Drosophila melanogaster: one gene and its partner. The protein of the gene in region 1 purifies or fractionates together with the protein of each later gene. This does not show direct contact. Each region holds a gene or a part of one and is shown on either strand. Other genes may lie near its edges.

Region 1 (5,216 bases):
ACTTTAAATTCAATTACATTTTAAGCTGCAATCCAGAGAGAGGGGAGCGAAAGTAAAGTGGCATTCGCACATGATGCCATTCTGGGCACAAAGTCAACGCGAGGGCAAATATGCGCATTCAAAAGTTGACGCTCAAATCCCAAAGATTTGAATAATTGTAATGAATTTGCCGGAGCTCCGTAATCCGCCAGACGAGCCTCCGGGCACAGCGGCCCACACCCATCCCGGCACCACCCACTTTTGGGCAAATGTTGCAACATTTAATGGAAATGAAATGGTAATGACTGGATTTGGGAGCATAGTTAGGGCTACACTGAAATAAAACTGGCACCACACATTTAAAATTCACAAAATGGGAGTGTTTGCAGGGGAGTATCAATATATGTATTAATGGTTTAAATTACTCTTTATGCCTATATGGCATAATTACTTTACTCTCTATATGACGTGTTAAGGAAGTCCTTTTTGTTATTTATAGTTTTTATTTCTAATTTGAGGTCCGCAAAATATCTTTCTGTGTGCACTCACCGATAAATGAGTTTCCGCCGCACGCTGCGTTTGAAGAATCCGGAGCAGCCATTGCAGGCTAGGATTCCGTAGTGCTTTCCCGAGCTGGTGTCGCCGCACACCACGCAGATGAGGCCCAGGTTCTGACCCTTAATCCGGGTCATCGATGAACCCTCCGCCGCCGACGAGTGGTTCATGGAGTTGGCTGCCGCTTGGGCTGCCGCCGCCGCAGCAGCTGCAGCGGCACTGTGATTCCAGCTCAGCAATCGACCATTGGGCACGTTTGGGGCGGCGGGATGAGGGGGCGGTGGCTGTGTGGGCGGGGCCACGCCCGTTGATGTAGGTGGAGGCGCCTGTCCGTGCATCGGCGCCGGCGGCGGAGTGTAGCAATGCCGCTGCGGACTGTGGAGTTCTAAAGTTATGAAGCAGATTAGTGAATGGTATCTAAGAGAATCGAAATTGTATCTTTTTGTTATCTGGGAAGTTACTACGGCTTTATTAAGATCATACAGTTGGGTTTATTAGCTCGTATATAGATCTTAAAATCAACGAATTGTGCAAGTGGTTAAAGCTTAGTTGGCGTTTAAATATTAATAAATATTCAAAATTGTTTATAAAACGGGAAAAATAGTATACATAATGTTTAGCTAATACTAGCAGAATGTAGAAATGTAATGTATAATTCTATACAATTTCCGCACTGTAGCTTAACATTTTTAAACTTAACGCGTAATGATTGTCCTTTAGCTATTCTTTTCATCGGCATATTAAATGATTAATCTCGTTCCAGCATAAGACATTTAAAATTTTCGACCAGACTTAAGACCAGTTTTCCCGGTGGTAATGGGTGGTGCAATAAAAAATCACTTATGCAGTTCATATAAATTAAATCCCAATTTGTCAGTTGTACCGGATTGCGGATGCAAAGGACCTGCCGATCTTATCCCTGCGTGGCGACATTGACGCCCTGTAATCCGCAAATATATTTACACATTCAATTAGGGTGCCATTAAGCCAAACGGCTCTCGACCAGAGCGTGCCGAGCAATCTGTGCGCCAAATTTGCCTCGGGGGACGATTGTTTTGCCATCACACCCTAATTTGATTGTAGTTTCCTTACTGATTTTTTGATGCACTTAACCCTCGACGTTCCAAGGACGAGGCTGAGGACACATTTGTAACACTCGCCACTTGGCTGTGCGCTCGACCATTTGGGTTCGTGGTTCTGGTTTGCGTTTGGGTTTGGGTTTTGCTCCTGCTTGGCATTGGAATGGAAAGACAAAGTCAGGCGGCCATTCAGCCGGGACCAACTGGCAGGACTGCGGTCCAAAGCCGGAGGATTAGCGTCATATGCTTGCATTTTCCGGGGCACCGGGGCATCTTTGTTAATTTTATGGGCTCGTTGAAATTCACTTTGGCGCACACAAAAGTGTTAAGGGCGCCGGGATGGCTGTGTTATGAATTTCTGACATTTTTGGCGGCCTGACTCGGAGTCTAATTCAATTTGGTGATTATCGCAAATTGAATTTGCCTGGCCATTCGTGCATGCCATCAGCAAGTTGGGCATCGATTTGATTTGAGTGTCTCCGCAGACAACTGGTTCCTGCAAATTGGTAATTAAAATTGCCAATGTGATTTCCGAGCAGAGCGATCAGAATCCGCTTGTTTCTTTTCATGTTTTAGTCTGGGCATTTTACAATTGATCCAGTCATTTCAACATATAAAAAGTTATACTTCTTAACATTATATTTAAATTGGTCACACAGCTATAAAATAGATTTTCTATTCAAATCGCTAAACTTATAATTGACGTATAAGAATTCGCTTAAAAAAGGAGTCATATCTGAATATCATAAAATGAATTGTTAAAGTTTTTTTTTTGCTAGGAACTCAATCCTTAAAATGTGTGTTAGTTTTCGATATAACATTATTATTTCGGCACTAATTACAACTCACATTTGAAACAATTTTTTCCGTCGGGTAATTAGAATGAAAAAGCTTAAATTTAATTTATATTACGATGCCAGTCGTTTTTTGTAATCTTTGCTTTCACATCCTTTCCGTTTTTTTCTTTAACATATCACTTTTTTTATTTTCCTATCTTATCCGTCCTAATTAATCGTGGGTGTAAGAAACGTAATTATATTTCACGCACAATTTCCCAACAAACGTGATATTGTCCTTTTTAAAATTTGTTGGTAAAGGAATTTTTAGCCACCATTAGGGCCATCTTGTATATTTATTTTTTTATGTATTTAAGTAAGGAAACCACACCTTTGTGTTTACAGCTTAATAAATATATTTCATCACCATACTCATGTTTTTATTAACACACTAATTTACCTTGAGAAGATGGTCGTGTTTCGGAGGAATTTTCTTCCTTATTCATTTTGTTGAGCTTTGGCGGACTGCGATTAAAGATCACACCTCGTTGAAAAGTTTATTAACAATTGACACTATTTGTAAGAATTTCTAAAACACCACTTTTAAATGGCACTTTTCGGGTTCATCGCAGTAGGCTCCATATTAATTTGCAATCGTGGAGAGGCGACGGCAAGTGGACGGTCCTCTGATTCCCGCTGATGAAACCGAACCAATCCGATCCGACGGCGCTGCGAGTGTGCCGCGATGATGATGTTAACGTCTCGATGTACGATTTCAGATTCCGGATTTCAGATTTATCATAAAAGCGTGACAGGAGCTAAACACTGATGTGTCCACTCCAGCAGTCGGCCAACCAGCCAACGGGCCAACCCCGGACTAGGGGGAAAAAACCATATCGCAGGATATAATCCGCGGTCGCTGAGTGGGCAGAGAAGTCCTTGCCGCGCGCGTGTGTGTGTGAGGACAAAAAGCACGGCATACACTGCACACACACACACATAGGAGCAGGAAGAGCAGAGAGCATCGAGCAGCGAGCAAGGAGCAGCGAGCGAAGGATAACCGCACACCACCCACCCACCAACGGAGACTTTTAGTGGCAACTCTGGTGGCGCATTTGCTTGTTGGCTTGCTTTGATTCGTTCCTTCTTGATGCTGCGGCAGGAGCTTGTCCTCGCTGTTAGTGTTAGTGTGTTGGTGTGCGGCCCTGCGAGTGTGGGTAAGCCAAGCCGCAATCGCAATCTCCAATAAACACCCGGCTCTGCGCTCTCTGCGCACACACACAAGCACACATACCAAGGCACTCGAAAGAGCAGAGAACGCCCGGTCGCCATCATGACTCAAAAAAGCTGAGCGACGGCGGGGAGCGGAAACGGAAGTGGGCGGGAGAGCGGAAGTGGAGCAGAGCAATGGTGGCGCCCCACCAATACAACCATGAAACGAATGACGCAGCTGCGCGGCTGGCGCTCGTATAATCGTCTTGGGTTTTGACATTTTGTTTTTGTTTTATAATACCCTTTGTGATGTCGGCGCTTTCGAGCTTGCGTCGTCCTGCCCCTCGATCCTTTCGCTAACAGTTTGGCCCCCCTCTTGACCCTCTGCCAACGACGTCACTCTTGGCCTCGTATTCTAACCGCCCCCTAAAAGCCCCAACTTCCACCCAGAAATTGCCGCCACCCAGTAAACTGTAATTGAATTGAAGAAGAAAATGTTTCTGCTGGTGTCTGTGGGTGTACTTGGATCTAAATCAAGAATATTTAAGTGCACATATAACCAAAAGAGTTTTAAATTATATATATATTATAATATACATATATTATCCTAATATTATAATTTGTTTGTTTTTAAATATTTTTCTAATTTGATGGGTGATTTTATTTAACTTTAATATCACAATCATGTTTCATTTACCTTCCTGATTTTATTGCAACAATTATATATTTATATATTTAGATATAGATATTTAGATTATTATTTGTACAAGAAATTAAAGTAAGAACCAAGGCTTGTATTAAATTAAGTTTTAACGAATTTTAAGAAGCCTCATAGAACCAGTCATTCAAGTTTGTGAACTGTTCGAGAAAATATGCTGAAGACAGAATATATATGCTCAGAAGTGGGTTTTTATATTTTAAAAAGTATAACCTTAAAATATTTATAATGTCAAACTTAATGTAATGTGTAAAGATGTTCTATCTAATGGTCTACGTAGTCTTATTTATGCATACACATTTTTATTTACTCTCTATACATTATAATTTTATGGATAAGAGAGCCAGAGCTAGAGGTGGTCCCGGGTCCACTAATCCAATAATCGATAAATGCTGCTCGCAGGACCAAAACGGGCGGCATGGGGGCTCCGTTGTGCTCCCCGATTTTGTTGTGGGGCTTTTGCCATGCTTAATGCGCCGACATTAACTTTGTAACAAATGAGATGTCGGAATACAACAGTCAGGATCCTGGCAAGCCACAGCCCCTCCCCGCAGCTCCCTCCCTTGCTCCTTTCACCGCTCCTTTCTGCAATCTCGCTCTCTTCGCGGGGGAGAAAGCTAGAGAGCAGCTGCGGCTGGCAGAAGTTTATGCTCGGGACAAAAGTGAACAAATGCAAAAGTCAAAGCGCTTTGCCAGCATGGCCACGCCCACCACGTCGAGGGAGGAGCGAACGAGAGCGAGATAGAAATACAGAGAGACAGAGCGACGTTATCCTGTAACAGACGTGCACGCAGGATGCCCGTCGGTGTGAGCGAGAGCAATGACATCGTGCGAGCAGGACGAGCAGAGACGACGGGGTTGGTTCTTGACATTTGAACGGCGACATTTCGCATCGCC
Region 2 (5,168 bases), on another chromosome or scaffold:
TCGTTTTCAGGGCGGAGTTGCTGTAGCAGCGGATATTTTTGGAGGACTGCGGTTCAAGAACAAGGACGAAGACGAGGTCGCGGCCGAAGGGGGCGGAACAGGACAGGATAGGACCCAAGCAGCTGTTCGGCCTGCACAAGGACAAGGACGCTCACGAGGCGCTACGGATACGATACGAGCACGATACACGGACACGGTTACGGCCACGGCCACGGCTCAATGTGGAAAACACTTGGCGCCCTTGACAATGGGCTATCGCTTATATAAGGGACCTTGGCGAGCTCCCATAATTATTGCACATTTCCCCGATTTATTGACACTATATGTATATTTATTATAATATTTTTCAATATATTTTTTCCTTATATTTTCACTCTCTGCTCGGCCAGTGGGGCTTTGTTTATTTGCTAGAATCGCGACAGGTTGGAATATATTCGCAACCGTTGCGTTGGCCGTACTTTCTCTGACTGAAACAGCAAAAGCTCTGAAAGCCAGAACAGAACCAGAAAAGAGCGACAAAAAAGCGAGTCGGTTCTCGCGCAAAAAGCTGCACAATGAAAGTGAAAACCGTATGAAAAATGAGAGAATCCGACTGCAAAGATGGGAAGAATTCGAAAGCGAGAGGCTCGGAGAGAGAGAGCGACTGCGTACGAGGAAGCTGAGGTGAAGAATACGAAAAGCAAAACATAAATAAACAAAAATAAACGCGAATGAGCCAGCCAAAAGAGAAGAACGCACACGGATTTTTCTAAACTTTTTTTTTGCGATGGGGGTTAACAAAATTTGGACTGGGGCAGTTTCAAGGGGGAGTTTTTGGAGTTTTTTGTGGCTAAGGGTTGATTATTCGGGGGTTGCTCGCTTCCCATTTGGGGTTTCACTTGACGGGACTCAACTTCCGTGTTTCAGTGCGTATGAGTAATGTGCGTGTGGAGAGATTTTCGTGGGGTTGCGCTTTTCGGTTGGTCTGGGCTACACTGGGTTATTTTCTCTGGGTAAGGGCAGGGTTACGCATTGAGGTAGGTTCGGGGTCTGCTCGTAATTGATGAATGGAGCTGTATTGCCAAAAAAGGGAATATTGCGCATAAAATTAAATTAGTTTGGGTTGGGGCTTGGCCTTTTATGTTTTGTTGAAAGTTTTTGAATGTTCATCCTGTAAAAAGTGACTACAAACATTTTATCTGAACATAAATTTATAAAAACAAAGGCTGTTCTACTTTAGTCTTGTTACAGATAACTTTAATTTAATAAATTTATCATTTTCATTATCACTAAGCATCAAAAGTTTAATACTTAATAAGAAGTATTATCAACATCGCTTACTTTCACCTGTCTATAACACGAAATCAGAGCAATCATCTGGCATTGGCGAAACAAATGCATATTTTTTCCAAGCGCCATGAGATGATGCCTCATGCCCCACAATTCCCTGTCTATTCGATGGCGGCCATATAGCGGAAGTTTCCGCAAACGTCAGTGGGGGAGACCTCCAGAAAAATGTACGGAGATACAAACGCTAGGCGCCGAATAAACCGCTATTTGCAAACGAGCAAAGGCGATGACACTCGGCGTGCAAGTGTGTGCACTCGCGTGTGCATGACAACATTCAATAGCAGCGTAATCAACAAACAAAATGCAACCTCACGAGCTGCAACCATTTGACAGAGTGTATATGTTGAACAGGCTTTTAAAATATAACAATTTATTTTAATAAAACTTTTAATAAAATGATGCTTTTATTCGAATATTTTGCAATCACATACATAGTTGTGTTTAATTGATTTCAAACATCTTATTTAATTTAAAAAAAATTGGTTAGTAATAATAATTAAATCTATGTTGTTAGCCACAGTAAATTTAAGTGAAAATCAACGTTACGGTTAAATAAAAAATTATACTTTGATTACACATTTTCTTCAAGTGCAAGCCCACACACAGACTACAATCAAAAACGCACACCACAGCACGAGGCGGCAATGTATTGACCTTAACACTGAACGACATCGCACACACTTGCATTGCAAAATAAGAACTTGAAATAGAATAAATCGAGCAAGAGAGCAGTGCAAATAAAAAGAGAGCGCCGAGAGAAATAGAGCACGTGAGTGTATGTGTGTTCAAGTTCACCCACACCAAGGCGAGTCTAACAGGGCGTCTACAGTTGAGCAAGCAGCGCTCTGTTAACGGGCTGCAGATCCCCTGTTAGCTTTCCTCCTCTGTTTTCTTGGGGTCTCTGCATTTCAGCGGAGTTGCCAGGGGGCGTTGGGTGGTGGGGCTGCGTTCTGTTTGCAGGGGGTGTGGCTCGCCTCTAATGAGGGTTGCAACTCCAGACGGAGTTTCATCCGAGTGGAATGAGTCAGACAGCCGGGGAATGGGTCCAAAAAAGGAGCTTATTCAGCAGGAAGGATAAGTGCTTTCGAGTTCGTTTTTTTTGGTCAATAAATTTAACCATCTAATTGAGGACTTAGTTACGCCTGATATCCGAGAGTTAAAGGTCATGCGACCCTTATACATGGTTTTGTGCAATATAAAATGATCACTTTTCTATCTTATGTTTGTCGGTTTTCGTATTGTTCTGTTTAGTTTAGCAACCTGCTTTTAATTTACTTTTAACTTTTAGGCTTTCGATTGTATGAACTGTTAAGTACTTCGCAAACCTTTGTTCAACTATTTCAAATTTTATATTTTTACTTTTTGCTTCGTTTATTATTTTAAAACAATTTGAGAGCATTTCTATGCACATTTTTCGTTCTTGATATTATTTGACCGTTTTTTATGCTTTCATGAGTCACATAATGCTTATACATATGTATATGCTTAACATCGTTCAGTTATGCGCAGTTAAGTGAATTTTGTTGAATGGTTCATGAGTTTAAGCATAAGTTTTCTATTTAAAGATAGATCAGTTTCACAAATCCTATATATAAAGGATTTCTGTTAGTTGAATTATTTTCAATGACGACGAGTGTTAACTTGCACACAATAATATGTTACACCATATTTTTTTATAGATATTTCTGTATTTAATATTGTCACAGCTTAAAATTTTAAACTTTGGCAATTGTTTGCACTATTCTGATTGTGATTGAAAAGACTGTCCTTGTGCTTCCCTTGTTACTTGTGATATTTATATAGCATCGAATTGGCACACAAAACTCACACAACTCTGCCTTAATCCAATTCACGTACAAAGAGTTCACCACTTATTCGGACGCATCACGCAGATACTTTTTGTATCTGCATTCAGAGGATTGCTATTTGTCCCGATCGAATTCTGGTGCTAACAAACGAAAGTTAACCGCCGATTGGTAAGACGATTGCGCAGAAGAGGAAAAGCGCGACAGAGGACGGAACGCGACGGTGACGGTGCGTTCCACATGACGTATTCAAAATGACTGAGACCAGACCGAGACTGGACTGCAAATTTTCGCAAAAGTGAAAAATTCTACTTTCAATATGAAAACGAACTGCGCTGTCGCCGTCGACGCCGACTGCGCTGCCTGGGCGGGAGTTGTGCAGCGGCAGCGCACTGTGGGTGTGGGTAAGGTAGGTCGTGGTATGGGAATGCACAGTGGCTACAGAGAGAGAAAAGGGAGAGCACCATCACCATTACAGAGAGTGATAGAGAGAAAGAGCAGAGCGGAAGGCCGACAGAGCCAGAACCTGCAGCGAATGCAGAGAACAAAGCGGAGCAGAGAAGTCAATGTACAAAGCAGATTGGGGGTGCAATGGACGCCGAACATGGAACTCAGGCGCGGACGTGTACGTCGCCACAGTGGATGCCCGCTAGAAAGAAATCGAAATCATGCTAATTTTTCAGTTTAAGAAATCTGAAATCTTGAAACTTGAAAAATTATTTAAACAATTAAACAACTAAACAAGTTCTTTAGAGCATTATGTTAATTTTTTTTTGGTTTAGCTAAATTAGAAAGAATTTTTTAGAAATTTGCTGATGTTTTCATGTGGAACATATGGAAGGTGTGTGTTGATTTCATCCTTTAATAACCCAAATATATTTTACTACTAGCTTGGAAAAAAATAAAAATCCCTACCAACCTATATTAAAATTTTTAGGAACTCATTAAATGATGAACTATCAATAAAAAGAAATAATAAAATAATCATTATCCAACTAGACAGGCCAAATTAATGATCTCGATATCGCAACATTTCAAGTTGCCCTGTACCGGGCTTTCCAAGCTTATTTCCATGTTTCTGACGTGTACAGTAGTACATATCGTGGTTCCCGCCTGGAGTGACTTGCCCCTTTTGCGTGCTTCTTTTGGGGTTGCAAAGTTTTGGCATTCCGGGAGTTGTCGTAGCACAGAAATTAAAAATAATTGCAAAAAGTCGGCGAGTGGGTGGATTTCTCGGGTTTTCTGATCCTGGTTGTCGGTCCCTGTCTGTCTGGAGTTGCAACCCCTCGGGCAACGAAATGAAAGCAAACTTCAGACTCTTGGACTTGGGGTGTGGAAAGCGAGTGGGTATCAAAGGGCCGCGAAGCAGAAAAGGCGAGAAAGGAGTAAGAGGACAAGCGGTTTCCTAGACACTCGATGGGCTACTTTTTGTTTGGTAAGGTCGGTCCCAGGCAGAGATACTTCCTTTATGAGCTTCGATTTTAGCCAGCATCGGGGGTTGCACTCTTATGGATCTGGCTTTCATTGTCTTTCACGCTGTGGGATAGGTTTGAAGGGAACAGCATCTTGTAACCTTGATTTTCTTATTTGCCATTGTTGTTGACAAGACGGGATTAACTTTCAAGAACTTATCATCACTGTTCCCGGACAGCGTTTCAAGAAAACCCCCCGTGACTACACTATTATAATTTTTTAATAGAAACTCTGAAATTGCATATTGACTATTTTATTTTATGGAATATCGATGCTTATTATTTTAAGTTTTAACGACTGTACAAATAAACTATAGCAAATGTAATTTAACCTTGCAAATACCACTGCAGACATTTGCCAATTCAGGTTCAGTCTTCTGGGGCATTTTGGAACCGAATCTGTCTCCTTGAGGACCTCCAAATGCAACGAGGGCGTTGCATTGAGACACTGGCCCTGGCAGCCCTAATACAATAGTGGTCAAATACCATGGTCAATGACAGCGTCGTGAAATTTGCAACTGGCGACACGTGGCAGGGGCAACCAGACGCCACCCTTGGTCCT

The links.
Region 2: the proteins of Hr51 (region 1) and Eip75B purify together in Drosophila melanogaster (affinity purification with western blotting, with the first as the bait; one study listed by BioGRID). This does not show direct contact.

The regions. Positions count from the first base shown.
Region 1 is NT_033778.4:15,329,280-15,334,495, reverse strand, and holds the start of Hr51 (hormone receptor 51), read right to left. Parts: upstream 3,172-5,216; 5' UTR 2,896-3,171; coding exon 2,850-2,895; intron 920-2,849; coding exon 529-919; intron 1-528.
Region 2 is NT_037436.4:18,061,325-18,066,492, forward strand, and holds the start of Eip75B (Ecdysone-induced protein 75B), read right to left. Parts: upstream 3,373-5,168; 5' UTR 3,187-3,372; intron 130-3,186; exon of another isoform or gene 1-129. UniProt on the Drosophila melanogaster protein: Implicated in the regulation of ecdysone-triggered gene hierarchies. Probably plays a key role in mediating the regulation of the larval molt by 20-OH-ecdysone.